4 linked regions of the Canis lupus familiaris genome follow. The protein of the gene in region 3 interacts with the protein of the main gene of each other region in a biochemical or structural test. Links are inferred from orthologs where the notes say so. Each region holds a gene or a part of one and is shown on either strand. Other genes may lie near its edges. The genes, in order: PRPF19, ATR, RPA1 and RFWD3.

Region 1 (7,402 bases), on a different chromosome or scaffold from region 3:
ACTGGTAAAAACAGTGACAGTGCTAACAGTGGTGCTAGCAGGAGTAGAAGCCATACAGCTGACTCTCGAACACCCCCAAGCAGATGAAAATATATGTATGACTTCTGACTTCCCCAAAATGTCACTAGTAATAGTCCAATAGCCAGAAGCCTTACCGATAACGTCTACAGGTGATAAAGATATATGTGTGCATGTGCTATATACTGTCGTCTGACAATAACGTAATCTCAAAAGAAAATGTTATTCAGAAAATCTTAGGAGAAAATACACTCGGTACTGATTTATTGAAAACAAAAAACAAAAAACCTATGCGTAAGTAGACCTGCACAGTTCCAGCCTGAGTTGTTCAAGGGTCAGTTGCAGCAGTAGTGAAAGGGTGAGGAGGAGGAGGAACAGTGGTAGGGGGGCAGCAGCAGAAGTGGTACCAGCAGAAGTGGTAGCTGTATCAATGGTGGTAGCAGCAGGAATGTGAGCATAAGTGGTAACAGGAGTGGTAGCACCACTCCTTAGCGGTGGAGCAGCAGTAGGGGGTGGTGTAGCAGGAAGGGTGGCAGCACGAGGAGGGGCAGCAGTAGTGGGGGCAGGAGTAGCAGCTGGTGGCAGCAGCTGGCACAATATACACAGCACATATCATGTGCACCCAGCAGTCTACAAACTTACCTAGGGACTAACTCATCTAAGCCTTACAATACCCCAGGTACAGTATCCTCAACTTCTGAAGAAACTAGAACAGAGAGAAGTCAAATAATATGGCCAAGGGCCCCAGCCTAAAAAGTGCCATAGCTGGGATTCCACGTTCCTGCCTCACTCCTGCCTCACAGCCCAGAATGCAGGGGAGGGGGAGGGCCATGGGTCTTCCCTGGAAGCTGCTCAGCTGGACAGCTAAAAACAAGGTTGTTTCAAGAGTAAAAGGAGAGAATGTACATAGAGTGTCCAGCACACAGCTGAGATGAGTGGACAGATGGCAGGACAGAGTGAAAGCACTTTAGGACTTCTAACGCCAACATGAGGCTTCCAAGGCCAAGAGAGCAGGGCCATGCCCCAGTTCCAGGGCAGTGGTTTGAAATAGGGTGGGACAGGATGGTGGTCCCTTGGAGATCTTCTGAGATGTACTCCAAGCCCCTCCCCTGTCAAAAAACTGCACGTAAGCATGGAGAGGACACATGCTTCATACCACAGCCCCTCCCAACCCACAGATCCCCTGAGAACCTCCCTCTTTCTCTTTAGCAGTTTTCCTGGAAATGAAACCAGCCTAACAACACATATTCACATCCAGCCAGGAAGCAGCCAAATGGCTAGGTGCTGGGCTAGCTCAGGGTCCAGTCTGCCCTTCCCCCACCTTGGGAGGGGCCGCTCTACCCCCAGCAAACCATAGCTCCATCCCTTCCTCCTTTTGAAGTGTAACTGCATGACGGCTCTTTTCTTAAAAAGGGACAACCCCACACATTTCAAATCGGTATACTCAAAATTGGCCTTACTTTGGCCAATGTGGGAAAACCTCTAGGTATTCCAAACGCCGCCTGGTCACTCCCCTCCTGGGTGTCCTGCGGTAAAACTGACCTGAACAAACAAGAGGCTGGCACTCCAAGGTGCCCCCGCAGCGCTGTCTGCAACAGCTACAACTTTGGCGTGTGTTCCAAAGGCCAGTTCCCCTGATGATCACAGATACACACGCACAAAGGCTATCCTAGTCAGATGTCTGTGGAAACTGGGTTCAAATGTTAAAGGGTTTCTTTTTTGCAGTTTTCAAAGGCTTTACCCGCTAATAAGTATTGTGAGCTTCCAAGGGAGAGGACAGCATGCCCAAGCTTTCTTGACCATGGACCACTGACCCAGCAGAACATGTGCAGAGTCTTCTGCAGGCACCAGTGTAGATCACTGTGCTGTGACCCACTGCCCCAGGGCCCCAGCACAATGCATGACAGTTCCCACTCCCCCCAACACACTCCTGGACTGCTCTCCCCCAGGTTCCTGAACACCTCCCTCAGCCACCCACCCCACCCTGTCCTCCTCCCTACCCCTCTGCGCACCCTGATCATCCCCTCCTTTAGAAGCTTCCCCTGCCAGCAAGACCCCTCCTCCATTTCAGCTCCAGAGCACTAAGACTTCAGCTTCGTTATCACATGAAAGAAGCCACCCCAGCTGCAGCAGCCAAGGAGCCCTACTTTCACTCCAAGAGGCATTTGATATCTGATCTTCTATGTTCATTTACTCTTCTGGCTGTCTTCCCTGGAACCAGCTCTCCTTCCATATTCAAAAGCTAGTTTGAAAAATCTTTTGGGTTGGCTTGGGGCAGGTTCTGTAGCACCCACAGCATTAGAGTCCTTGCTGATATGTTCACACTTCCTCATGGGCAAGAAAAAGCTATTCTTCCCTCACTTCTCCCTCTTGTCTCAGTTGCTCTCAGTTGCTGTAGAAGCCAAACCCACAAGGAAGTGGTGGCACGAGTGAGACCCTTAAGACCCTAGAAACACAAGGTCAAGGCCTGCAGGGACATGAAAAGTCTTTCTAGCAAATGTGCTCCCTCCCCCTGACCTTCCCAGCTTGGGGCTCCCTTTAGAGACACACACAGGAAAGTGCTACATTTATTGTTTTCTTTTTTTAATGAAACTAAATCACTGCTTACAAAAACCTGCAAGAGCCCTCACGCCCATCCCCTTCACACTTCCCTTGGCTTAGCCTCTCCCCATCTCCCAGGAACTGAAGCAACTCAATGAACACCATGAGGGGAGAGGCCCTGGGCTCCAACCAGAGCCTTCACAGGGTGACAGTTCTACCTCCCGTGATCCTTCCTGTCAGGCTGGAGGTGGCATGGATGAGGGTGGTCCCCGCCGCCATGGCTCTCAGGTCACCACCCAGACCAGAGTGAAATGATGTGAATGCCCCGCCCCAGAGACCCCCCCTCCCCCAATAGTCTCTCCCCTTCCTCCCCGCTCCCCCCACCCTAATTCTACCCCTCTACTGAGATGAGGCCCAGCTCCCAGATCCGCAGGGCCAGGGTCTACAGGCTGTAGAACTTGAGGCTCCTGTCCATGCCCGTTGAAGCGATGAACTTGGCGTGGTGCCCAAAGGCCACCCCTGTGGTCAGGCCACTATGCTCTGAGGAGAGAGACAAGAGGCAGTGGTGAGGCTTCCCCGGGTCAGTGCTCAGTGTTTCCTAGTCACCCCGATACCCCCGAGGGCAGGGTGCTAGTCTGGCCTACACACCACCTGTGCCCTGGGCCTTACTCAGTTCCCGGCACACAGTAGGCACTCGAGTTCTTGTTGTGGGCTGAGTGAACAGAGGAATGTCAGCGCCCCTCACCTGAGCTTTGCCCCTCATCTGAGCTTTTGGGGCTGCTGCAATTCTGCTCAGTTCAAGTGCTACTAGAACCCACTGGGAGCTGGCAGAGAGAGCGACAGACCAAGCAGACATAGTCTCATTCTTCCACTTCTCACCTTATTTTTAAAAACTTAGCTGAGTTTTCTGTTCAATCTAAAACCTCAATGCTATTATATGTATTTATTTCTACCTCCTTTCTTATAAGTGAGACAGTCTGTCAATAAGTTCTAGCTCACGGGTTCCGACCTAGGGCACAGGGTAGGGCAGGGGTGGGCTGAGGGCACAAGAGGCTGGGTGACACACCTTCCTGGATTCCGGTAGTCACAAGCAGCAAAGCAAATTCCTTCTAGGTTTAGGATAACACCTGGGGCCCCGACTACAGAACCCAGGCTGTGCTTCCAGCCCACTACCCCGCCTCGCTCAACTCCAAAACACCGGAGCCCAGTGAAGGTCACGGTTAGGCCTGGACACCCCTGCAGCATACAAACTGAGCAGGGCTCAGCAGAATGTGGGGGCAGGAGAAGCATCCTGGGCCCCGCCCACAACCTGCTAATGAGGATGAGAATTTCATCAACAGAGACAGCCAACAGCTGCCGTCTGCTTAGCTCTCCAGCGTGCAACAGGCACACTGTCCCTGTGCGTGCCACGTCTATGTCACCAACTGGCACAATCTGCAAAGCAGTATCAATGTGACCGTTAAAAAAAAAGGAAGAAGCTACAGCTCTCAGAGGGAAACTGAGGTACCCAGGACCACACAGCTATTAGGTTAGCAGTCCTATCACCCACTGTGCCACCCCTTCTACTTTTCTTCTCCAGCATTCACAACAATTAAATGATTATTTGTAAACCTGTCTCACATCTGCTCCTCTAGGCTGATTGGAAATTCCATTAGTGCAAGGCCTAGATCTCAGTCATGGCTCCAATCCCACAGGAATGATGCAATGCTGAATAAGGGCAAATCCCTAATATGTGCCAGGCGCTGTCCTATTTACGTATGTGTTTGTACACACGCATATACACAGCTACTTCCTCAGGTTACATGTATACACACTAAACAGAGGACTTTGTGTATACATAAACTCATCTAAACCTCCTTGGCACCGCATGGAATATGCACTATTAGCATTCCCCAGAGAGACTAGGTAACCTGTCCAATGTCACACAACCTGAAGAGGACCTGAAGTGGTAGAGCTAGGATTTAATGCTCAGCAGTATGATTTTTGAGTTCATTTTCTTAGTCACTCAACTCAGTTGCCTCAGGTAGTGATGAAAAGCTGCCCAAGCAAACTCACGCCTGCCCCTAGAAATTCCCAGCCCAGTGGTATTTGCCCTCTTTGCTCTGCACCAGGGCATCCAGGACCTGGGGATCCCGGAGTCCAGACCCTACCTGTGAAATGAAGAATCTCTGTCCACTGCTTGCAGATGTAGATCTGGACATCCGTGCCCCCAAGGGCCAGGTAGGTGCCGCTCTGGTCAAAGATCAGTGACTTCACCTGTTGGAACCAGGAGAGAGGTCACATGAGAACAGAAACTACGAGGCAGTCAGAGATCAACAGAGGCAGCTCAGATGATTCGATGAGTACAAATGAAGAGCAGCAGGGGAGGGAGGGGCATACCTCAAAGTTGTTATCCAGCTGCAGCGTCTTGAAGTTTTTAAGCTTGCGCAGATCCCAGAGCTTGACAGAGGAGTCATCAGCCGCTGTAGCCAAGTAGTAGCCATTCTCTGAGAAGGCAATGCTGGTGATGGGGCCCGAGTGGCCGGGGAAGTTGGCCACATTGGTGCGCTCCTGCAGTTTGAGGATGGATAGCACAACGTCATCCACTGGTCATGAGGGGGAGAAGATGGCGTTCACCAAAAACCTACCTCTGAGCCATCCTCCTCCAGCCTTTATGAAAGGTCAACTAGCAGGAACAGCGGAAGCAGATGGCCCAGCCCAAGAACCCCGGACCACACCTATCACGTCACACACACACAGCGCCACGGTCTCTCTACCCTTGTGACAGCCCCAGGGCCAGGTGCCGTCAGCACATAATCACACTGCATAGTCAAGAACTCAGAGCCTGGGCCTTAGGTGGAGGCTCCCATGTCCTACCTTCAAGTCCCAGATCTTGATCTGTGAGTCCATGGTGCCTGTTCCAAAAATGAGTCCATCAGGATGGAACTGCGCACAGGTTAGAGCTGTAGGGGAGGGAGATGGGAGTTGTGGTCAGAGCCCACAGGAAAAAGAAGCACAGCGAGAGGTTCCTCGCTCTTCACACTGCACACTGCGCCCACCCCAACACCTGGCATTCGGGAGGGGCTTACAGTAAATGTATTTTAAAAGCAAATAAGCAACTGACTAAATAAAACATAAAAATAAATAATAAATATCAAATGACAGAACCCAGCCCCTCTGCAGCAACTTACAACAGCCAGAGGTCTCATCTGTCACCTTCGTGAGCACCCGCCCTGTCTGGATGTCAGAGAAGGCCCAGTACTGAAAAACACAGAGACAACAGAGCCAATAAGAAAGCGGGTGCCCTTTAGGAAGGCAGGGGCCCTCATTAGGCAAACCCTGGCAAAGCTAGCCCCTCCGAGCAGAGGAACATTCTCCTCTGGGGTTCTGGGGAACCAGCTGGTGTTGGTAAGATGTTCCCTCCTCCCAGGAGGTTTCCTGAGCTTGGAGACCAGCTGGCCTCTACGGGGTGTGGGCTGGGACCACACACCTGGTCATCAGAGGAGCTCAGGAGATAGTCCCCAGTGGCATGGAGGCTGAGGCCTGTCACAGCACTCTCATGGGCCCGAACCACCTGCACACAGGACGCATTCGGGACTGACCAAATCCTGATAGTAGCATCTGGAGAGGCAGAAAACACCAGCTCCTGAAAGGAAAGCAAAGAGGCAGAACATCAAAGGCAGAAGAGATGGACCATAACAATCTTACAAAGGGGAGCCAGGGACGGCCATAACCCCAACAACTGCTTCTCTTTCAGCCCTGTCCTGCCTAAAACCATCCACCCACCTAATGATACCTAAGAGAGCCAACAGTAAGTACTATGTAAAATGGTAAATCAAACAGCATTGGCCTAGATGAGGAGGCCTAACTACCTAGTGGTAAGAAGGACAGCTGTTCCAGACAGCAATTTCCCACACCGTTCCCTGAACAAGACAGAGGAACGTGGCTAGTGCAACTGAGGAACTGATTTTCTTGTTTTAGTTCGTTTTACTTTGTTTAAATAGACACATGCAGCTAATGGCTACTGTCAGGGATCGCGTGGGCACTGAACAGCACTGGCCTGGGAAAGGCTGCAAGGGCATACTCCAGTGCCTCCCATACTTCAGCACTGCAAGGGCAAGCTAATCCTCAGAACAATTTGAGGCAGAGAGAGAACTTACATAGTGTTGCCCACCAAGTATTTGGGTTAGGACATTAAAAACTGTAAGGTGGAACCAACTACCATCTTTCGTCAACAGGATTTCATAAGAGAAATAACCCATTAACACTCAGCAGAAAAGGAGACCTTTCCATTTGAAATACACTTCCTGGCTGACTCAGTCGGGGGAGCATGTGACCCTTGACCTGGGGGTCATGAGTTCGAGCCCCACGATGAGCACAGAGACTACTTTAAAAGAACATGCAAAAAAATAAATGAGTAAGTTTAAAATTTAAAATTATTTATCTATTTCTACTTTCTTTACAGAAAAGGAAAAAGGCTGATTGGGAAGCACATCCTCAGGCACTAACCTATAGTCTCAGACCCAAACTGTGCCAGACCTGAAGATTCAAATCCTTTAACAGTAATCTCATCTAATGAGCAGCCCTTGCCCCTAAGCCAGCACTTCTCCATCTATTGTAGCCCACACCACTTTCAACAGTCAACAGTCATCATCAAGTCCCCTCACCAATCCCAGAGGACTATGGGAATGTGGACAAACCCGTCCTTCCTGGGTATGCTAAGATTTTGCTGAGCTTTGTTTTCCAGTTTGTACCACAGACACTGTAGGGTTTTTCCTTTTCCTAACACAAAACATGTCTATGAATTTGCTTATTCAAGCTCTATGCCCCTTGATGTGAAGGCCACTGCTTTAGGAAGGACTAC
Region 2 (8,299 bases), on a different chromosome or scaffold from region 3:
AAATATATTAGAGAAAAGTACATATATTGACTATTAGGACCAATCAAGAAAAATAAATATTAAGAGGAGATATAGGGGGATCCCTGGGTGGCGCAGCGGTTTAGCGCCTGCCTTTGGCCCAGGGCGCGATCCTGGAGACCCGGGATCGAATCCCATGTCGGGCTCTCGGTGCATGGAGCCTGCTTCTCCCTCTGCCTGTGTCTCTGCCTCTCTCTCTCTCTCTCTCTCTATGACTATCATAAATAAAAGAAATAAAAATTAAAAAAGGGGGAGGGAGTAATTGCAGATGAAGCTGAAGAAAAACTGTATCAAAGCTCAAAGAAGCAACTAAAGAGTTTCGATTTTGTACTGACAGCAATGAGACACTGAAATGTTGCAATTAGGAGAGTGAAAGGTAAACTTTTTAAAACCTGAATTAAATTGTTATTTTCCTGAAACCATTCCAAAGGTTTCCCATTGCACTTAAATTTTCCTTATTTTGGCCTATAAGATACTAAAGGATCTGGCCCATGGTTACTCTTCCACCCTTAACTCACACCAGTCCCTTTTTTGCTTCCTTTGTTTCGTCCTTCCTATTCTTTAAAAAGTAAGCTCATTTCCACCTGGAGACTTTTAAACTTCCCATTCAATCTCAGATACTTCTCCCAGTTCACATGACTGGCTTCTTCTCACCATTCAAATCCCCTCTAGTGGCTAATGTTAATGCTCCCTAGACTTTCATCTCCTACCCATTGCCCCATTTAATATTTTAATAGCAACTATCATTATCCGAAAATACCTTGTGGTCACAAACTAATTTTAAACAGAAAGCCCAGAGAAGACCTCTCCAAAATGAGATCTGAATGAAACTGGTCTGTTCAGAGAAGAAACAGCAAAAAGCAAAGCACTGAAAGTAGGAATGACCTTGGGGCATACAAAAAATAAGGTCAATGCCAGTGGAACAGAGTAAGGGAAGGATATATGGCCATGAGGTCAGAGGCAGGCAGAGGCAAGATTATGTAGGACCGTAGGGGTCTTGGGAAGAAGTCTGGATTTTAACCTAAGTGTGCTGGAAAACTAAGAAGGTTTTAAACAGAGGAGTAATGCTATATAATCTATAATTTATAGTTGTTAAAATCATTTTGGTTGCTGAGTGAGAAATCCACTGAGTGAGTGGGTAACATGGAAATGGAGAGATAAGCTGAGAGGTTACAGTAATAGTCTAGATAAGAAATGACAAGAATAGCGGCAGTGACAAGTGTATTTTAAAGGTAGGATTGTCAGGACTTGCTGATAAGATTTTTTGGGTATAAGAGAAAGAATCAAGAATTCCGGCTAGCGGTTTAGCGCCACCTTCAGCCCCGGGTGTGATCCTGAAGACAGGGGATCAGAGTCCGGGATCAGAGTCCCCCATCAGGCTCCCTGCACGGAGTCTGCTTCAGCCTCTGCCTGTGTCTGTCTGTCTCTGTGTCGTGAATAAATAAATAAAATAAAATAAATAAAAATTCCTGGGTTTTTGGTTGGCACATTTACAATAACCTGGGGCAGGAACCAAGTTTAAGAACATAAATCAAGATGTAATGATGTAAATTTTCATTTCAGGTACAGATGTTCAACAGTAAGCAACCTAATATCTCTGGGTAGATAAATATTTGGGAGTTATCAGAATATAAGTGATATTTAAAGCCATGGGACTACATGAAGTTACTTAGGAAGAGAGTAAAGATGAAAAGAGGACAAAGGATGTAGCAAAGTCACATGGGGAATCAAGAATGATTCCTACATTTCTGGTTTGGAAAACAGAGTGACCATGGTATCACTTACTGAGATGTCCCTACCTCAGTGAATGAGAGGGAAAAAAAAAAAAGGGAGGTTAGGATACGTGAAGAAATTGTATTGACTATGTTGAGTCTTACACTTACCAACTAAGCCACCCAGGTGCCCAGCTATGTTGTCTTAATGGCATATAGGACACCCAGCTAAAACTGCCAGTATACAGTTGTATAAATATCCTATAGGAGGACACCTGGGTGGTTCAGCGGTTTAGCACCTGCCTTCGGCCCAGGGCATGATCCTGGAGTCCTGGGAACAAGTCCCTCATCTGGCTCCCTGCATGGAGCCTGCTTCTCCCTCTGCCTGTGTCTCTGCCTCTTTCTCTCTTTGTGTCTCTCATGAACAAATAAAATCTTCAAAAAAAAAATATTCTATAGGAAATGGATATGGTTTGGAGAAACATATTTGCAGTCATTAAATGGCAGATAGTAGTTAAAGACAGTGGATGGGATCACCCTGAAAGACTAGGCAGAGAAAAGAGTGCTCATAGCAAAAAACAGAAGCAAAATTCATCTCTGAGACAGAGCCGCCCACACATTAGAACAGTTAACATCTCACTTTTTTCAGAAATTGAATTGCCAGTCAATTAATGAGAAAAAAAGATGGGGGTGGAGAAAAGGCTTTGATTGCATGAATCTGGAACCCAACTCTGATAATGGCTACCTCTGACTTTGGTTCTTCAATTCCTGTGACTCAGTTTCTTACTGAATAGTGATAATATGTACTCTATTCTACATCATGGAGATACTGTGAGACTGAATAGGCAGGAATGAAGCAATTAAAATGAGAAACTCACGACTGTTAAAGAAAAGTAACGTAAGCTCCGGTGATGTAAGAGACTATAAATAAATCCAAGATACTATTATTTTTATTAACAACTCTCATTATGGAAAAAAAAAAAAAGAGGGTAGAAAGGCATTAGTTAATTCTACATGAAAACAAAATAGGAAAAAAAAAATATTGAGCTTCACATTGAGCCTCAAAAATGAAATCTGTACTTCAATGTCCTAAAACGAGCGCTTGTATTCATGTTAGTTTATAAAATGTTAACACAAAGTAGGCTTGCAACATTCATGCAAAGCGGGGAAAAAAAAAAAAAAAAACACAAAAACAGGATGATTCGGTAAAAACAAGAGTGGTTTCTTCATTTACCCTCTTATTTATGTGATCGAAGAAGACTAAATATTCTTGTATGGCCAACAAGTGGAGATGAATACATCTGCACCCCAAAAAGAAAGGAATTAAATACCCCACAGATTTTCTGTTAGCTCTGACTTTGTGTGCTAAGTTTTCAAAAAGCAATTACTCCAACTGATAGGTCAACTGCACTAGTGGTACAAACCCACTTATTTCTTCTTCGCAATGGGTTAAAACTCAAAAAAAAAAAAAAAAAAAAAGGCAAGCAAAATAAAAACCCTCCCTCCTTTAGGCCTGGTTGAGGGAAAGTTGCCAGTGTGCTGAAGGGGGGATGGCAGCCAGCCAGCAACAGCCTTCCCCTCTCTTCAGGTGGGACGGTGGTTTACGTGATTTTACTGTTCCGTTTACAGAAGGCGGGCTTTTGCAAATGAAACAGTATTGAATTATTTTTAAACTCTGGCAACATCTTGTGCACATTTACATTTTGGGGACGTCGTGGCAGATCCCTGGGATTTCTGACTAAAATAAACGGACTGGGCGCTGGATGACCAACAGGAAACGGGGCCCATCTTCAGGACGGCCTATGCTTTCATTTTGAAGAAGACCAAACTGCCTTTTCTAGCAATTGGCCTTCCTTCCACACCACACGAACCAGTGATTCTTTTCTTGTCAAAGAGGGGCAGTTTGGGTCAACACGTAAAGCTAAGAACCCAATTCCTCCACGAGCGATCACAAGGAGTAGAAAATGGGGCAAGTTCCTGGGTCGAGTCCCTCACCTAAGGAAAGAGGTCTGCAGGAAGCGAGCGGTCAGAAGGGGCGGGGGGGCAAGGCTCCCGGGCGCCGCTGAGGTACAGTGGGCTCGGCGAACAGCCCCTCTCGGGCCCTAGACCTGCTTCCCCAACGTCTGCGGCGACGCCCGCGTATTTTTAACCCCGTCTCGGGGGGAGACGTGCTCAAGCCATTGGCGAGACACACCGCCCGGGGCCGGGGTTGAAGGTTTCGGAGCCGGCACGCGCGCGGCTGGGGAGGGAGCGCACGTGAGAGGCCGGCCGGGCCGGGCCGGGCGGAGGAGACGCGGCACCCGGAGCGGCCGGGCCTGGCCCTACCTGCCCAACTCCCGCAGAGCGGGGATCATAGACGCCAGCTCCAGGCCGTGGTCGCCCATGCTGAGGATGCGCGGCCCTCGTCAACCGCGCGGCCGCTGCCTCCCGGCGTCTCCACAGCTACCTCGGGGCTGGGGGGAGGGGAGGGGCAGGCGCGGCGCCCGACGGTGTCTCGCCAGGCCCAAAACTCCTCCCGGAAGCCGCGTTCAGTCACGCTCTGCGGACCGGAATTCTTCTTCCGCGTAGGACCCGGGGGAGGCCGGGGGGCCGGCAAGGGGGCGGGGCCAAGGAGGCGGAGCGCGCAGGGGGCACGTTCCCAGCGCGGCTCCCGCTGGGGGCGTGGTTCGCGGCGAGTTTGGGGTGTTCGCGGGCACCCCGGGCTGCCCCCGTCCTAGGAGGCTCGGCGAGGCGAGACCTCCCCCGGGTTCTGGAAAAGAAACAGACCGGCCTCCCTCGCATCACGAAAGGGAGAATTGAGACCCTCCGGCGGGTGGAAGGCGTGACTCGATCCCGGGCCCCCCCACCCCTCGCCGCGCGTCCTTTTAGCGGGATACGGGGCTCCTCCCTGTCCTTCCTGTTTCGGCAGGGTGTTTTTCCCACGTGAAGTCAGACTTTCTTGAGGCTATTCCCGACTTTTAATATTTAAGAAGGGGTTTCGGGGATCCCCTGGGTGGCGCAGCGGTTTAGCGACGCCTTCAGCCCAGGGCGTGATCCTGGAGACCCGGGATCGAGTCCTGCATCAGGGTCCCTGCTTGGAGCCTGCTTCTCCCTCTGCCTGTGTCTCTGCCCCTCTCTCTCTCTCACTGTGTCTTTCATGAATAAGTAAATAAAATCTTAAAAAAAAAAAAAATTTAAGAAGGGATTTCGGGGATGCCCGGGTGTCTCAGCAGTTTAGCGCCGCCTTCAGCCCAGGGCCTGATCCTGGAGACCCGACCTGAGCCAAATCCAAGAGTCCCACGCCCAAACAGCTGTGCCACCCAGGTGCCAGCTTTTTTAAAGCTTAGATTAGATTGCACATATGAAAAAGTCGACCAACGAAAAAGCAACAGATGTTAGGTATTTTTAGATGATAGGAAGAAAGATTATAAAAACTACAATGTTATGTGGAAGGCAAAAACTAAAATAACACTGGAATTCTGAAAGGCAGTATACATTAGAAACATTGGAAACAATAGAGCTTTGGCAATCCAATTTTATTCAAAAAGTTATTTTTATGCAAGATTTTTTTGGGGGGGTACTTCTGTGACACAAAGATGAGGATGATGAAGTCTCAAGTAGTGTGCAAACTGGATATAGAAGGACATCATAGGAATTCAGAAATTGAAAAGCAAAGCAGAATCTGATGAATGCCATGAGAGAGATAAACATGCATTGGAAAAATATAAGAGGAAGAGATTAAATATACTGTGTGGAGAGGAGGTGGATGAGGAAGGGGCTCCAGGAGAATGAGGCACCACATTCTCCTGGAGATGGATGGGATGAGAATGAGATGGGATGGTGAAGGATGAGGATATGAAAAGACAAAGATTGGAGAAGAGGAATATATTTCTAATTAGAGGCAGCAGTATGAACAAAAAGCATATGGAGGGAGAGACTAGTGGTCCAGTTCAGGTGATATTAGGGAGCATTTCGAGTAGTCCCGCTGAGACCCTTGTACAAACCTCAGTAAGCACTGAAGAGGCACTGGAAGATTTGATATAAAGTGACAGTCAAAGCCACACTCAGATCTGGCGGGAGGGTGCAGGTCAGAACAAAAGGAAGGTAGCAGATTATTTTAAGAAATCAAACTTCTTTAGCAGTATATCAATAAATGAACAATTATTCCAACCAGACATCCTCCCTCAAGGTACCCATTATTTCTCTCCCCCCATTAAACTTTCTGAGTTTATCATATAGGCTGATTCTATTTCCTCACCTCCCACTCAAGTCCTAAATCTACATAAACTATTATCTCTGCCCTACCCACCACCCCCTCTCAAGTGCTTCTCATCAAAGTCACCAACGACTTTCATATGCATATATGGCTAAAGTCAAAAGATACTGATCAGTCCTTTTGTGACCACTCAGCAGCATTTAGCAGTGAGGATATTTTCTTCCTTTGGCCTATGTTACTCTCTTGTTAACAACACTTTCTTTGCCATTCTCTTAACTGCTGTTATTCCTTAGGATTCTAACTTGGCTTCCTTTCTCTTCTTTTTATTCCTAGGTGACTTCAGGCTTCAGTAAACTTTCCAACAGCTTATTACTCCCAAATTCTTTGCTTCTGCTCAGATCTCTCTCTGGGCTTTATATTTATTTCACATGTCTAATTTTTACTGAAATTTTTACCTGGAATTTTTCCCAGGTACTTTATTTTTATTAAACTTTGTATTATGGGGCAGGCCCGGTGGCTCAGCGGGTTAGCGCTGCCTTCAGCCCAGGGCCTGATCCTGGAGACCCAGAATCGAGTCCCACATCAGGCTCCCTGCATGGAGCCTGCTTCTCCCTCTGCCTGTGCCTGTGCCTCTCTCTCTGTGTGTGTCTCTCATGATTAAATAAAATAAAAAATCTTAAAAAAAACCCACAACTTTGTATTATGTAAAGTTTCAAATATACAAAAATGTAGAGGGACTGGAATAAGGAACCACCTTGTGGCTATCACCCAACTTCAACAATTGTTGCATATGGCCAGTTTTTGCTGCATCTATAACCACCCTTCCCATTTGCCTTCTCCCTAGTGGGATTATTTTAAAGAAAATCTCCAGCATCAAATCAATTTATCTATAAATACTTTAGTTTATATCTCTTCAAGATAAGGATTCAATTCTGCCTCTGAAATAAGCAAACCCATCTACTTCCCTCCAAATCCCATCACCACCATTCTAGTTTCAGACCATCACAATTATTCCCACAACATTCTAGTTTACCTCACTTACTTTAGCTTTTCCTTCCAGTCAATTATCTGCACTGGAGCCTCCCAACCTTTTTATTCGTTCAACAGTATCATTGAAATTTTGCATCCTAATGTGTACATATTTATTAACCACATATACCTAGCACTATTTTGTAGTATAAATAAAACTCATAATGTAAATTTGGACAAAATACAACTGTTGACTGGTATCTGTATTCCTCTCACTCCCCTTTTATCATTAGGGAGAGTGGAATGTGGGGAAGGAGGGAGTGAGGCAGGAAGCAGAGAGCTTCAAGTACGTGGGTCCTGGTGTCCTTTTGAGACCTTGGTATTTTCTAAGCCCAGGCAGGGTCTCATTCAAGTTGATACGTGAGCTCCAGCCAATGTCTTGGAAGTTTCAGCCAGCATGAGCATAGAATTGTCCTCACTGATGTTTAAACTAGGAGGGGAAATGACCACCAGGTGGCACCACAACCCAAATAAGAGCAAAATGGACTTAGTTCTCAGATGCCCAAATTCCTGGCTGTCCAGCTCTGCAAGTTCCATCATAATGCATTGGATTTTTTTTTTTACTCCATTTATGGTATTATGCTAGGATTTTACTATATAATTCACATGATAAATATACACTAAAATAGAATTCTTAAGGAAATGAAATATAAACAATTTTACAAGCTCCTTTCTATACTGGAATGGACTTCAATATACAATTCCCTGGTATATTATCCTCAAAAATTTGCATTTTAAATACTTTTTAATTTTCATCTTTCCTAGTTTTATTGAGGAATAACTTACATGTTACTCTGTGAGGTTAAGGCATATAGCATGATGGTTTTATTTGCATAAATATATTTTTAAGGTTTTATTTATTTATTCATGAGAGACACAGAGAGAGGCAGAGACACAGGCAGAGGGAGAAGCAGGCTCCACGAAGGGAGCCCAATGTGGGACTCGATCCCAGGTCTCCAGGATCACAACCTGGGCTGAAGGCAGCGCTAAACCACTGAGCCCCCCGGGCTGCCCTATTTACATATATTATAAAATGATTACCACAATGAGTTCAGCTAACATCCGTATTCTTATATAGAGACAATAAAAAGAAAAGAAAGAAGAATAAAAAAAGATTTTCTCTTTGTAATGAGAACTCTTAGGATTTACTCTCTTTAACTTTCCTATACATCATACAGTACTATTAGCTATAGTCAGCATGTTGTACATTATATCCCAGGTACTTATGTATCTTGTAACTGGAAGTTTGTACCTTTGGCCACATTGCTCCAATTCCCCACCTACTATCTCCTACCTCTGATAACCACAAACCTGATCCTTTGTTCTATGAATTTGGTGGGATTTT
Region 3 (7,587 bases):
AAATGACATCTTTAAGGCAATAACACAAGTACAAAAGGCATGTGTGAGAGGGCCACAGACACTCCAGAAACACACATTTTAGAAGTCATATATTCAAGTTATTAAGCACAATGGAACAACCTAGGCTTAACTAGCTGATCCCAGTATGGTACTTTATTAACCTCAAGTTAGAGACCTTAAAAAAAGCAAAACAAAAAAACATAAGAAACCTAGTGATTTTAATATTTTGACAACCAAAATAAAAACAAATTTTAACACTGAGTGACATAAATGCAGACGATAAGGAAGCGTGATGAGCCCAATGATTCACCAGCTGCCCTTATGTTCACACCAGGCAATTACGTCATATTTGGGAATCACTGACAAAATGCTAGAATACGTCATGTTTTCGAGTTGCTTGTGATTTGATTTTCAATTTTACTTTTCCATCAGTCAAAATACTATAGATGGGGGCAGCTGGTTGGCTGGCTCAGTCAGCAGAGTGTGTGACTCTTAATCTTAGGGTTCTAAATTCAAGCCCCACGTTGGGTGTAGAGAGTACTTAAAACAAAAACAACTATAGATGGATAAGAAACTTATAACAAAGGGCTGAAATTTTAGCCAACTGATAGATTAGACCGATAATCTGGTAAAAAAATTAGGTTCTGATATTGATTCTGCCACCATACAGTCAGTATATTTGGAGTATTGGGCCATCTTCCCAAAACAAACAACAAAAACAAACCACCTATGTTTTCTACCCTCTCAGAAGTTTGAACCACTAGGAAATATGCAGCAGCTTAAAAATAATATGTCAAGTACATATTAAGAATTATAAACAGAACAGAGAAACAGCTAACAAGACTGTTGAGATTCTACAACTTGGATTTTTTTGTTTCTTCATCATGGTTTGGTTTTGTTTAAGTGAAGCACAGAGTCTGCACATGCAGAATCCACCTCCCACAAAACCATTCACTTTTCAAGGTGGCTGGTGCATGCCTTCTGCTGTGGCCCAAAGAAACACTTTGCTTATAAGCAGACATCACTTCTTAGGCCTTCAGTTTAGCCTGCAAACAGGTCAGACAGAGTGTCTTTGCTTTCTCTTACTCATGAGGCTGCTCAAACAATTAAAAACTAAATTCTATTGCTATAAATGCTTAGACTTGTGTGACTCTTGATCTTGGGGTCATGAATTCAAGCTCCATGTGGGGTGTAGAGATTACTTAAAAATAAAATCACTAACATTAAGGATTTTAAAGGCACCTGGCTGGCTCCATTGGTACAGTATGTGACCTTTTGTTGTTGTTGTTGTTGTTAAAGATTTTATTTGTTTTAAGAGTTGCATGCTCTAGAGGTGCCCTGGTAGCTCAATCAGTTGAGTGTTGGACTCCTGGTTTTGGCTCAGGTCATGATCTCAGGGCTGTGAGACAGTCAGTGGGGAGCCTGCTTGAGATTCTCTCCCTCCCTTTCTGCCCTCCCACTCCCTGGCTCACACCCTCTTTCTCTCAAATAAATAAACAATTAAAAAAAAATTGCATTCTCTATGGACTGAGCCAGCCAGCCAGGTGCCCTGAATATATGACTGGTGATCATCATGAGTCCAAGCCCCATTTTGGCATGGAGCCTACTTAAAAAGAAAAAATAAATTAAAAAACAGAAAAACATAACATATAATAAACTAAAAGGATTTTATTTAAGAGCTTTAACCCTCTGGGGCACCTGGCAGGCTCAGTTGGTTAAGATCCAACTCTTGACTTCAGCTCAGGTCAGGATCTCAGGGATGTGAGATTGAGCCTGGTGTCAGGCTCCAAGCTGGGAGTGGAGTCTGCTTAAGGTTCTCTCTCTCTCTCTTAAAAAAAAAAAAAAAAAACCCAAAAAAACTCTCTCTCCCTTTCCCTCTGCCCCTCCCCCTATACCTCCCCTTCTGAAGAAGAAAAAAAAAAAAGACCTTTAACCCTTTGCCCCCAGACAGCATTAAAAGCCTACAGAGGAGGAAAAACAACAATATTCATGTTTATTTTTGGCCTACTGCTGTTTTTCATCACACAGGCTTACACAGAGATGAGCTCTCTTTCTCAGACTACTCGTATTTTCCCACTTGACAACTACTCACACTTTCATCAACTAGTTCTATGGAAAAAAGCTTCCCTTCCCCTCGGGAATTGCTCCAGGTACGGATCTGACTTTTGTTGGTAACTCGAGCACAGATAGTCCACCTAAAAACCAAATAGATTATATTAGTACTCAGGTCTTAACTGGGAAAGATCTAAAAGGTTCCCTATTATCTTCCTATAGCCTTTCTTACCTTATGCATATTCCATTTTTCAACGTAAGCTGTATTTTAATCCAACTGATTAAAACCCCAAGATGACATACAGGTTTGACAGTTTATAGAATAAGCAAGTAATAAAACATATCAGATGATTTAACACTAACTCATTCTCCTGTCAAATTAGCAAATTTATAAACGCTCTCCCTTCTCCAAAAAGCAACACGAAGGCAACAGTATCCCCTTAATGAAAGGTTCTAAGCTAGAAAATGCAGTAATAACAGCAATTATATTTTGCCACTATTTTCAATTATGGGAACTGATCAAACTGGTGTCAAACTTCTGTCCATTCTAGCCCACAATGAATATAAATATGGGACAGTGTTGGTAAGCCACCAAAAGAAAACACACTAAAGCAGTATGACCTCAGACAGAGGCCACTAAAAAAAGGAGGTACAAGATCCAATATCCAGTCCTGGTGCCGATACTGAACGCAAGTGTTGGGCACATTGGTTACCTTACTCATTTTCCCTGCACTGCAAAGAATTGAAGATTAGATAACATATCTAAAAGAATTCTGAAAAGAGAACTGATTTTCAACTGCTAAAATTAACTTTTTTTTTTTTAATTTTTATTTATTTATGATAGTCACAGAGAGAGAGAGAGAGAGAGGCACAGAGACACAGGCAGAGGGAGAAGCAGGCTCCATGCACCGGGAGCCCGATGTGGGATTCGATCCCGGGTCTCCAGGATCACGCCCTGGGCCAAAGGCAGGCACCAAACCGCTGTGCCACCCAGGGATCCCAAAATTAACTTTTAATGGAAAAGAATTATATATATAACTAGTATCTGTTCAGGGTATATTAATATGGTTATACAAACAGTACAGATTCTCTTAGTCAACTAAATCACAGTAACAATTTTTAGACTAAAAGTCACTTATATATCATAGAAGGTGAAATGCCTTCTGAAATACAACAAATATTTATTTTTTCTCATAAGACAATAAATGGATTCTTTAAACATTAAGTATTTTTCAATTAAAATTCTTTCAAAACAAATGAAACTCTATAGGCTATTGTAGATTGTTTTTCTTGCCATTCTTTCATGGTAAGAGAGTCAAAGGTCACCACAATTTGTACCCTCTTTCTCCTTTCAAGGAAAAAAAAAGATGAAATTTATTTTATATATGGTAACCCTGAAGTTCACACATAAATACCTCAAGAGCCCATAATAACCTCTAACATCATATTGTAGGTATATCCTGAGCTTACTCTATGGCGTAACTCACTTGGATTGGTAAGGAGTAAGGCTGGCAATGGGCACCACTTTGACCTGTGTCCCTCCAGAACTACTCGCTAGGCTGGTACCTCCAGGTTTTCCAAATGTCTTTGAGGCACTGTAAGTCTTAGAAGCAGTGAAACCTTTAAAAACAAACACAAAGGAGGATCATCATTATTCTATCTGAATTTTTTTAAAAGATTTTATTTATTTATTAGAGACAGAGAGAGAGAGAGAGAGAGAGAGAGACAGGCAGAGACACAGGCAGAGGGAGAAGCAGGCTCCATGCAGGGAGCCCTATGTGGGACTCGATCCCGGGTCTCCAGGATCACACCATGGGCTGAAGGCAGCGCTATACCACTGAGCCACCAGGGCTGCCCTATTCTATGTAAATTTTAAACAAATGTTGTAATAACTCTCAATTACTGAGATGTCACTGGTGAAATATAAAATGAAAGCAAAACTCTGCCTTTTTAGTAATCAAAGAGATATGGAGATTACATAGAGACCACAGACGCCTGGGTGGCTCAGCAGTTGAGCCGTCTGCCTTCAGCTCAGGGCATGATTTCGAGGTCCTGGGATCAAGTCCCACATCCGCTCCCTGCAGGAACCCTGCTTCTCTCTCTGCCTCTGTGTCTCTGACGAATAAATAAAATCTTAGAAACAAAAGCAAAAAAAAAAAAAACAAAACAAAAAAACCCAAAAAACAAACAGAGACCAAAACAGGAGGCTAGGAAAGTAACTGTGAATGAAGCCTGGGCACACAGAAGCTTACTACTTTATCTGTTGACTTAAGCTCTGACTGAGGTCAAGATAGTAATTCTGGTGAGTCCAGACACTGTTCTGGCCCATCTTTCTTAGACTGTCCTCTTGTATCAATGGGCAAGATAATGGGTTAGAGAAAGAAAATCAAGCAACCTCCTTGACTGGTAATACTGACAGTAAGTCACTAGTTGCATAAGAAAAAAAAGCAAAAGGAAAGGCTAGGAGGTAAGGCACATAATGGATGAACCATCTGAGGTGAAGGGTCCTACCACAAATATTTTACCTCAAACATCCTCAGAAAAATGTTTTCTTTCTTTTTTTTAAAGATTTTATTTATTCATGAGAGACAGAGAGAGAGAGAGAGAGAGAGAGAGAGAGGCAGAGACACAGGCAGAGGGAGAAGCAGGCTCCATGCAGGGAGCCCGAAGTGGGACTTGATCCTGGGTCTCCAGGATCAGGCCCTGGCTGAAGGCGGTGCTAAACTGTTGAGCCACCCGGGCTGCCCTATATGCAGTTTTTATGAAGTTTCAACCTCCAAACTCAGAAAACAATTCAGTCCAATTACTTCATATCTTCTCTACCAAAGCATTTCTTTAGGATGGAATTTGGCTGGAAATGTAAATCTACCATTATTCAGCATTTCTTTATTGAGTTTCCAAACCTGTAAGACACCATTCTAGGTATTTGCAGTATTTAGTAAAAACTATACAGAGACTGTCCTGGATCTTAACATATTCTATTCTAATTGGGGAGTCAAGAGAAAACTACACATACGACAGTAATAATTGCCTCAAAGTTATGCAAGAAGCACATGAACTTTGAAGAATATATGCATGTGTACATATACCTAATATTATCTATAAGATATAGTTTTTTTTTTTTTTATAAGATATAGTTCTATAACACACATACACACACTTCCCCTCAATATAGTCTTCTTTTCTTTCACCACCCAGTTGATGTGTGTTTAGACAACATTAATTGATTTTTAAAAATAAATGTTAGGGACTCATTGGTGGCTCAGTTGGTTAAGCTTCTGCCTTCGGCTCAGGTCATGATCCCAGAGTCCTGGAATCAAGCCCCTGCAAGCAGGGAGCCCTGCTTCTCCCTCAGCCTCTGCCACTCCCCCTGCTTGTGCTCTCTTGCTTGTTTCTTCTCTTTCTCTTTCAAAAAACAAATTAAAAAAAAAAAGTTAATATAAGCCAAAGATTGACAATTGGGAAAATACATCTGTGGGAGGAGGGAGAGGAATAACATACTACTTGTAGTTCAGCCTAAGGAAGTGACTAATTATTAGATTATTCACCACTTTAGATACTAAATCTATTTCATGACCTCTTTCAACAGTACATAACTTGCAAGTTGTATATATAAATAGATCCACTTATAAAAGGAGATAGAAGATAAGATTGACAGATATTGCAAAGTAGATAAAAACATAAAAAACCAAAGGGGAAAAAGTCCCATGTCCTCAAAGTTTCACAGTAACATTAGTGACGTCTTAACCTTGCTTTTCTTAAAATTTCAGCACTGAAAATTAGTAATTAAGAGTTGAGGGGAGAAGAGGTGGGACATAAGAAGCTGTGACAGAAAAAAGAACCTCTAAAAATAAATCCAACCCAAATCCTCATTTTTAATAGTTCCTCAAGTGAAGGGAAGAAAGTAAACAAAATGATTCCATTACAGTCTCTCAGGACCGTATTGCAAGAGACAGGTAAAGGAAGATTTCTCATCCATGAGACTGAGAAACAGAACCTAGGACCAACATAAATGATACCATCTTCACGTTAAGATAAATACCTATGAGAACCCCGAATGGGAAACTTGGAGAGAGACAAGTGGATTCCAAATAGTTAAAAGGCAAGAACTTAAAGGTATGTAAATTCACAAAGTCAAAAGAGTGTAATAAAATGTAGGATGTGAGAAAGTACCAAATAAATTATTAACAGAGAACAGTATATCATTCTGATGAAAATAGGCATATTAAGTATCTTTAAAAGACTATCTTTAATCATTTCTTCAATCACACACTTTATAGTAAGAACTGGAATTCCCCTCTGCAAGAACCAACTATCATGATCAGGATTTTGAAAAATTCCCTTTAGTCCCAGATTAAATTTCAAAACATTATTCAGAAGCCTGATACATATATCTAGCACATGTCTTCATGTGGCCATTTACCCATTGCTGAGCTCCCATTCTGTTGCTGGGGCTTGTTGGCTGGTGGATTGGCTGCTGAGACTGGAGAAGGAACTGCCTGCTGCTGCCCATGTCCTGAGGACCAAAAGAAAAACAATTTTAGTGCAAATAATTCAGGCTAAAAGATTTAAACTTAAGTAGAAGAAATACTCTGAGAAAATGTAAATTTTTTATTTTGTTAGACTCTCATGGGTCAGAATTCATGCTGGGGTATTCAACTACATGCAGTCCATTTGCTAAGAGTTCACATCTGTTTTCATTATATAAAAGGTTGGCTCCATTTACCTTTCACCTGCTTATAATTGAGTTTTCGGATTTTTAAAAAAGATTTTTAAAAATTATTTATTTATTCATGAGAGATAGATAGAGAGGCAGAGACACAGGCAGAGGGAGAAGCAGGCTCCATGCAGAGAGCCCCATGTGGGACTCGATTCCAGGACCCCAGGATCACGCCCCAAGAAGGCAGATGCACTTAACCACTGAGCAACCTTGGCGTCCCAATAGCTTTCAGTTTTAATGAGGTTCTCCCCTAAAGTCTTGCCCATTTCTCCTGCATGAACCTGAAGTCAAGTCACTGGCTGAATCTGTGACATCATCACTATTTCCATAGCAACAGATCGATGCCATCAACATAATTGTGTTCAAGGTAGGATCTATCAGAAGAAAAAGCTGGGTGGTAAGAAAAGCCTAAAAGCAGTTCAATTGTCTCTGAAGTGCTCCTGCTTCAAAGGAAAAGGAGACATTCAGAAAGGATTCTACCCTTTCCTTCCCAAACAAAGCAACCTTATTTTGCAACTGACAGTTGATGGAAAATAAGAGTTGAAAGAGCCTTAGGTACCGTGAAGTGCTAGTGAACTGTCACAGCAGGAAGAGATGAGATGGAGTTCAGAAGCAGGTGTGTCAAGGAAACAGAAAGATTAAAAGGAAAGGAGGGGAAAGGAACAGGTCTCTCAAGCGGAAAATAAGAAATCCCACACCATGAGACTATTTATTTGCCCCTCACCCTTTCTACAAATGTTTATGAGTTGAAGAATGTTAAAACTGCAAAATATACCCAATTAAAAATAATTGATTTATGGAATTTGATTTTGCCT
Region 4 (7,587 bases), on a different chromosome or scaffold from region 3:
CCTTTCAAAATATATTCACATTGGAAATAGAAATTCTCTTTTAAGATACTTCTCATTTTGGCCTAAGTCAGACTCCACCACTTCTCCTTTTGAGAAATTTATGCCTTTAAGAGAATATTACACCCAAATGGTACTCAACACATTCTGAAGAGTCATAGTGGTGCAGGTGGCCACCCATCCTCAGAATTTGGGCTGACTCTAAAAATCTCCCAATTCTGTAACTGGATTATAAATGATAAATCATAGTAACATGGTATCTTTAGACCAAGTTTGTTTAGCTGGAGGTTAGGGAAGTTTTAAATCATTTTTTTTTATAGGCCTTTTACTGATCTCTTCCTCTGCAATAGCTCTAACAAGCCAAGAAACGTGACAAAGGTCACACAGCTCCTATGCAGTAGAACTGGGTTTTGAACACAGATCTGACTTCATTTTGCCATGTTGGGTGATGAGTGACTGTATGAACCTGGCTGTACTTGGTACTAGGACTTTCTACCATGTAGAAATATCATGAACACATACAAAGGATCTTAGGGAGTCCAAAATGAGAAGACATCACTGGACTCAGAGAACTGCCCTCTGTGAGAAATTCTGACCAAATGTAAACATTCTCAAAAGAGAGGATTCATATCCAACAGAAAGCTGCTACCTACAGGGAAAAGTAAGTGGCTCCCTACCTGGCTTTCTGGGGTGCTAACTCCTGGATATGAGAGCTCGTGTTTCGAAGGTCATACAGCAGAATCGAACCATTGACCAGACCGGCATAGATATGATTACTTTCATCAAGACACCAGCAGCAGCTCCAGACAGGACGTCCTGCATTATATGTCTGGACCACTGTATTTGTCTCTAGGCTGTGGAGATATAGGAGTTTTACAATTACGCATTAAGAAAATCAAATATATAAAAAGATATAAAAATTATCATTTCACTGATAATCTTTTTAAAAAAACAGATGATATTTATTTGAGAGAGTGAGAGAGCGAGCACAAAGGGGGGGGGGGAGTGGAGGTCAGAGGGAGAGGGAGAGGCAGACTTCCTGCTGAGCAGCAAGCTGAATGTGAGGCTCAATCCCAGAACCCTGGGATCATGACCTGAGCAAAAGGTAGACACTCAACTGACTGAGCCACCCTGATGCCCCCAATGATAATCTTAAGAACATACCCACACATCCAAACTATTTTGGGATTTCTAAGTTTCTCTAGGGATTGCCTAGTAACCCCTTTTAATTACAAATTATTTGTTTTGGGGGATGTAAGTTTTCCTCTTGAAATGTAAGGAAAATAAAATAAGTTAAAAAGGTATTTAAACAGCACATTCCCCACTCTACCTCAATTCTCCATAATTATCTATAATACAGGTATTCAATGGTAAAATATTCAACGCTAAAAAATTAGAATTTACCTACAAGAAAAACAAAACTAACTACCCATAACTACCCAGAGGTAGTCATTAATGTCACTTTGGTGTTTAACCTGCACTTTTTTCACCTATTTTTTAACACCACTAGGAAAAAACACAACACATACATAAATATAAAACAATGTTATATTGAGTTTTGGGGCTAAGCTGAAGCATTTTTTAAAAAAAGATTTTATTTATTTATTCATGAGACACCCACACACAGAGAGGCAGAGACATAGGCAGAGAGAGAGAAACAGGCTCCATGCAGGGAGCCCGATGTGGAACTCGATCCTGGGACTCCAGGATCACGCCCTGGGCTGAAGGCAGGAGCTCAACCGCCGAGACACCAAGGTGTCCCAAGCTGAAGCATTCTTAAAAAGTCAGAAGGCTTATCAGGCCTGATAGTGATATCATGATGTGCCTCAGATTTAACTGCAGAACAGGAAGCCAACCATCAGATGTCTGATCAGAACTACTTTCTAAAAGATGAAGGCACTCAGCACATTCAGATCTGGGTCATAGCAGTTGCAGGGCACATGAAGGATAAAATACAGTAACTGAGGGTTACTGATGAGAGAGAAATCACGACACCTCAAGACAGTAAGCTCCTGGAGAGTATTTTTGTTTAGCAGGAGGATCCCAGTAACAGACCAGGAATAAGCAGTTCCAAGCTGGTAGGTAACCTCGTGGTGCCCAGTACCAAGGCTCCCTCCATATTGTCATTCAACCATCTCTAGGGTGTTTCTCTCATCTGCCTGGCTTAAGATGTATGTTGTGATACAGATCATTTTTAAAGAAACAGGGCATTGCATATACTGTTTTGTAGCCTATTGTATCTACTTTGAAAAGCAATACATTTTAAATTCAATGACCCTGGGCAACCCGGGTGGCCTAGCGGTTTAGTGCCACCCTCAGCCCAGGGTCTGATCCTGGAGACCCGGGATCAAGTCCCACATCGGGCTCCCTGCATGGGGCCTGCTTCTCCCTCTGCCTGTGTCTCTCATGAATAAATAAATAAAATCTTAAAAAAAAAAATTCAATGACTCTGGATCTCAGAAGACAACGCCTCAGACCAAAAAAAAAAAAAAAGAGTTAAGGCCATCTTAACACGGAAACACTGCCATATTTCTATGCAGTTCAACACTAAAAGCCCAGGCCCCATCTTCCTCCCTGAGGCACTCACCTGGTTAGCTTCACAGTGCTGTCTAGGGAAGCCGAGAGTAGTAAGCCTTTGGACCGACTACTGAAAGCCAGTCCTCGGATCTGTTTGCCATGCATGGGAATGTACTGACTGCTTTTCATGTTGGCAGTACTCAACATCTTAACGCCAAAGCCTGCCAATGACGAGAGAGCATGAAATCACTGAAAGTCAATTTAAGGCAAAGTAAACTACCTTTTCAAGTAGCTCTCTGTTCAGCTTTCCTGGCATCTAAATTCCTGGAAAACAGCTGGTTAAACGAAGAAAATAAAAATTCCCCAAGGTCATAATTATTTTAAGAAGTATATTTCACTCCAGATATCTGACAACAGGTGAATGGGTAAACCACTATACGTACATGTATATAACATACAATGGAATAACTACCCAGCAATACAAGGAAATGAACTATTGATATACACAATAATATGGACAAATCTCCAAAACTTTATACTGAAAGAAGCCAGACAAAAAATGATTATGATTATGTATGATTGTGTTTATGTAAAATTCTAAAAAATGCAAATTAATGTATAGTGACAGAAAATAGATCAGTGGCTGCCTAGGGATGAGGAGAGGGGGTAAGGGCAGATGGGGGAGATGGATTATAAAGGGCATGAGGTATGTTATCTTGATTGTGGAGATGGTTTCAGAGGTATATACATATATCAAAATTCATCCAACTATATACTTTCAATATGTGCAAATTATTCCATGTCAGTCCTATTTCAATAAAGCTATTAATATAGAGATCCACAGCCAGTGAAGATACAGAGAGAGTGAACAATAAGGAATAGAGATATGTGATTTCTATGTCAGGTGGTCAAGAAATGGCATTTATCTGAATGGAATAAAAACAGATGACACTTCAAGTATTCTAATCAATTTGCAGCATTCCAAAGGGGAAAAAAATTCCCCCCCAAACTTGTCCTTTTTAATTTATTTGTTACTCTCTTCTCTTCCTAGGCTCTGATAATGTATTTATTTTTACTAAGTATCTATTATTATTCAAGTTATCCACAAACAGAATTTGTCAAATCCTAGAATTCAGGATAGCCTTGAGTCACATTTCAGCCTATCTGGGGAACAAAGTGAGAAAAGTTTATTGTGTTTTCTCTTGAAACAGAATTAATTAGGAGAGCTAGAGAGACAAACAGGGAAACTACAGGCCTTCAATCAACAAGGAACACGAATACTGACCTAGTTAATTATCAAAGGAAACAAAGATATATTAGTACCAAAAGGCTTTCAAGAGCTAGCTATGCTGTGTGGAATAGATGTATTACGGAAAAAGGAACAGATCATACTCAATTGGGAGAACAATTTAAAAAGTAAGTATTTTCCCAGTTTATACGAAAGGTTTTATTTGATAAATCTTTTATTAAAGATGTGGATGGGAATAGAAACATTATAAACAATTTTTTTTTTGGTTTGGAAAATTGCCTGTTTTTTTTTTTTAATTGGTGTTCAATTTACCAACATACAGAATAACCCCCAGTGCCCGTCACCCAATCACTCCCACCCCCTGCCCTCCCCTTTTGCCACCCCTAGTTCGTTTCCCAGAGTTAGCAGTCTTTACGTTATGTCTCCCTTTCTGATATTTTCCACACATTTCTTCTCCCTTCCCTTATATTCCCTTTTACTATTATTTATATTCCCCACATGAATGAGAACATATAATGTTTGTCCCTCTCCGACTGACTTACTTCACTCAGCGAAACAATTCTTTTATGTTCCCCTTAACCAGAGCTTCTCTCAACTCCCAGCTATCAGTAAACAGAAAAATACACAATAGTCTAGGAATCTACTTTTTTTTTTTTTTTTTTTTTTAGGAATCTACTTTTAATCCTGTATATACCTAAGTTTAGGGGGACACAGGTTTTGTTTTTAAGATAGATAGATAGATAGATTTATTTATTTACTTATTTATTTACTTATTCATTCATTCATTCATTCATTTATTTATTTATTTATGATAGACATAGAGAGAGAGGCAGAGACACAGGAGGAGTGAGAAGCAGGCTCCATGCCAGGAGCCCGACGCGGGACCCGATCCTGGGACTCCAGGATCACGCCCTGGGCCAAAGGCAGGCGCTAAACCGCTGAGCCACCCAGGGATCCCCAGGACACAGTTTTGAAGCATTTGAATGGAATTTGTAAGTGGGTAAGAAGGAAATCAGGCTGAAGCCAAAGGACCTGCAGCTGGGAGAAATCACACGCTAAAGATCGTGGAAAGAAACATTTACAAAAATTAGAATGATTTAACTGGGCATATGAGATTTGGTTTTCAACATTAAGACAATCTAAAGTTAAGCTTTTTAAAAAGCACAAACATGAAAAAAATTAGTATTTACCGTATTATTATCAATTCTTTTTTTGTTTTTTTGTTGTTGTTTTTTTTTTTTTTTTTTAATTTATGATAGTCACACAGAGAGAGAGAGAGGCGGAAACACAGGCAGAGGGAGAAGCAGGCTCCATGCACCGGGAGCCTGACGTGGGATTCGATCCCGGGTCTCCAGGATCACGCCCTGGGCCAAAGGCAGGCGCCAAACCGCTGCGCCACCCAGGGATCCCCGTATTATTATCAATTCTTAATCAATGCATTGCCAAATTCTTTTATTTAGAATTTGTCAATTTGAATACTACTGAAAATAAGTATTAAATCTTGTTTCAACTTGAATTAGCCCTTGGGATAGTAATTTTTGCTTTTCTTTTCTGAAGATTTATTTATTTTAGAGAGACAGAGAGCGAGTGAGCGAGCGAGAGTACAAGTGAGCAAGAGGGAGAGAGAATCCCAAGCAGACTCCCCACTGAACGCAGAGCCCAATGTGGGGCTCAATCCCAGGACCGAGACTGCAACCTGAGCCAAAATCAAGAGTTGGATGCTGTGCCAACTAAGCCACCCACGCACCTCTGGATAGTATTTTTTTTTTTTTTTTAATGATAGAGAGAGAGAGAGAGAGAGAGAGAGAGAGAGAGAGAGAGAGAGGCAGAGACATAGGCTGAGGGAGAAGCAGGCTCCATGCACCGGGAGCCCAACGTGGGATTTGATCCCGGGTCTCCAGGATCGTGCCCTGGGCCAAAGGCAGGCGCTAAACCACTGCGCCACCCAGGGATCCCTGGATAGTGGTTTTTTTTTTTTTTTTTGGATAGTGTTTTTAAAAATATTTCCAGTCTAGGGGCATTTGGCTGGCTCAATCAGTAGAGCATGTGACTTTTGATCTCAGGGTTCTAAGTATGAGCTTCATGTTGGGTGCAGACATTACTTTAAAAAAAAAAAATCTTAAAAATTTCTAGTCTAAAATCAATCTTTGACTTTATTTATTTATTTTTTATCAAAAAAATTTTTTTTCTAAGTAAACCCTGTAACTCAACATGGGTCTCAAATTCAAGTCTCATACTCTACCAACTAAGCCAGTCAAGTGCCCCCATCAATCTGTGACTTTAACAGGACATATAGGGATGTTCTTCTCCTCGGATGATATCAGTAACCCATGCTTCCAAGTACCTCATCTTCTCTTTATCACAGTTATTAATTAGCATTTCTGAGCTCTTAGTTAATATATTTACAGAATGAAACCAAGGGACACTAAAGATATCTTTGTAGCACCTTAAGAGTGCTACATCTGCATTAACAGACTAGAACAGCTGATTTGGTGGGCCATGGCCAGTGGTCACCCACTAGTGAGTCCTGGATTCTACAAAAAAAAGGAGATCAGTGAAGTCTCAATTAAGGAGATCAATGAACATGAAAGCTGAGGTTCTGGATTGTTCACCTGGCAGGAAGGAGGCCTCAGGGGAAGGCTGTGACATCACCAGGCAGCTCAGAGTGTCACAGTATGTCATGATTCGGCAGTTTCCTGTCTGAGACACTGTGAAGGTCTTCTGGAAATGGTACTTGTGCTGGCTCTGGCTGGAGGGCAGGCAGTTTGGGAAACATGCTTGGGAGCCCCTGGGGTGCTGTGAAATCTGCTCCCGATGCTGCACGATAAGTTTCTGCAAGTCCTAAAACGAAAAAGATTTTGTAAATGTGAAGCCTTTCCATTTGCTATTCCCCTCATGTATAATTCCTTCATTTAACATGGGGACATTTCTTATCTATTACATGGAAAAAATGTTGACATGAATTCCAGAGCACTGCTGCAGTTTTCACAGTATTTTAACAAGCAGCTGAACTAAAGAGAGCACAGATCATAAAATACTAGGGCTGAAAGTCTTTACTAGGCATCTTGTCTAAAGCCCTCATTCTATTGGTACATTCAGGGAGGTAAAATGACTTAAAATTCGAATTATCAGTGGGCTGTTTAATTTTTTAAAAGTTCAAATTGCAGGATTGATCCTAAAGTGTATACGCTTCAGACAAATGCTCTTAATCAAAAACAGAATCAAGAGTTAGTCTTGCTTACTTCCTGAAAAACTTGGTAAATTCTTACTTGTATGTGAGATGAACCAAAGTTGTATTTAGATCCCTTTGCCATTCCTATCTCCAAGTTCTCTGGATTAGAAAGGGCAGACTCACCTGGACACGACTATGAAGCTTGCTGCATTCGTCAGTGAGTACTTGAAGCTGGAGCCGGCACTGTGCTGATTCTAACTCCGCCTGCTTCCTTAGCATCTGCTCCTTTAGTAAGGAACTAGAAGAGGAAGCCAACAACAGGAGAAGATTAGGAGGGCTACAGAACACTTCTCATCAAGACATCAGATTAAGTTCATGCTATGATACACACGTTATGCTGTAAATAGTCACAATGGTGAATAAAATGTAACAAAAGAAAAATCTCTCACATCCAGAAACACTACAAAAAAGTAGCACGCAGGGCTGAACTCACAAGTCACTGGGATTCAGCATGAACATCGGCAGTTATAGCCAGGAGTTTGGCTTTTACTAGGAAATGAGACTAAAAATGCAAAAATGCTGATTGAGAGAACAGAGCCAAGCCCACTGCTTGAGTTAGTACCAAATTATAAGAGTAAAATGACATATTAGA

What was found.
Region 1: the proteins of RPA1 (region 3) and PRPF19 form a complex in vitro, tested with the Homo sapiens proteins (2 studies listed by BioGRID, with this or other methods). The link is inferred for Canis lupus familiaris from reciprocal best matches to the Homo sapiens genes RPA1 and PRPF19.
Region 2: the proteins of RPA1 (region 3) and ATR form a complex in vitro, tested with the Homo sapiens proteins (2 studies listed by BioGRID, with this or other methods). The link is inferred for Canis lupus familiaris from reciprocal best matches to the Homo sapiens genes RPA1 and ATR.
Region 4: the proteins of RPA1 (region 3) and RFWD3 form a complex in vitro, tested with the Homo sapiens proteins (3 studies listed by BioGRID, with this or other methods). The link is inferred for Canis lupus familiaris from reciprocal best matches to the Homo sapiens genes RPA1 and RFWD3.

The regions. Positions count from the first base shown.
Region 1 is NC_049239.1:56,004,006-56,011,407, reverse strand, and holds the end of PRPF19 (pre-mRNA-processing factor 19), read right to left. Parts: intron 6,185-7,402; coding exon 6,029-6,184; intron 5,800-6,028; coding exon 5,730-5,799; intron 5,502-5,729; coding exon 5,416-5,501; intron 5,110-5,415; coding exon 4,939-5,109; intron 4,816-4,938; coding exon 4,710-4,815; intron 3,100-4,709; coding exon 3,002-3,099; 3' UTR 2,581-3,001; downstream 1-2,580. UniProt on the Homo sapiens protein: Ubiquitin-protein ligase which is a core component of several complexes mainly involved pre-mRNA splicing and DNA repair. Required for pre-mRNA splicing as component of the spliceosome.
Region 2 is NC_049244.1:38,754,834-38,763,132, forward strand, and holds the start of ATR (serine/threonine-protein kinase ATR), read right to left. Parts: upstream 4,192-8,299; 5' UTR 4,115-4,191; coding exon 4,056-4,114; intron 1-4,055. UniProt on the Homo sapiens protein: Serine/threonine protein kinase which activates checkpoint signaling upon genotoxic stresses such as ionizing radiation (IR), ultraviolet light (UV), or DNA replication stalling, thereby acting as a DNA damage sensor.
Region 3 is NC_049230.1:45,954,798-45,962,384, reverse strand, and holds part of RPA1 (replication protein A 70 kDa DNA-binding subunit), read right to left. Parts: intron 6,569-7,587; coding exon 6,476-6,568; intron 3,673-6,475; coding exon 3,540-3,672; intron 2,196-3,539; coding exon 2,093-2,195; intron 1-2,092. UniProt on the Homo sapiens protein: As part of the heterotrimeric replication protein A complex (RPA/RP-A), binds and stabilizes single-stranded DNA intermediates that form during DNA replication or upon DNA stress.
Region 4 is NC_049226.1:76,561,207-76,568,793, reverse strand, and holds part of RFWD3 (E3 ubiquitin-protein ligase RFWD3), read right to left. Parts: intron 7,234-7,587; coding exon 7,119-7,233; intron 6,605-7,118; coding exon 6,376-6,604; intron 2,736-6,375; coding exon 2,585-2,735; intron 852-2,584; coding exon 675-851; intron 1-674. UniProt on the Homo sapiens protein: E3 ubiquitin-protein ligase required for the repair of DNA interstrand cross-links (ICL) in response to DNA damage. Plays a key role in RPA-mediated DNA damage signaling and repair.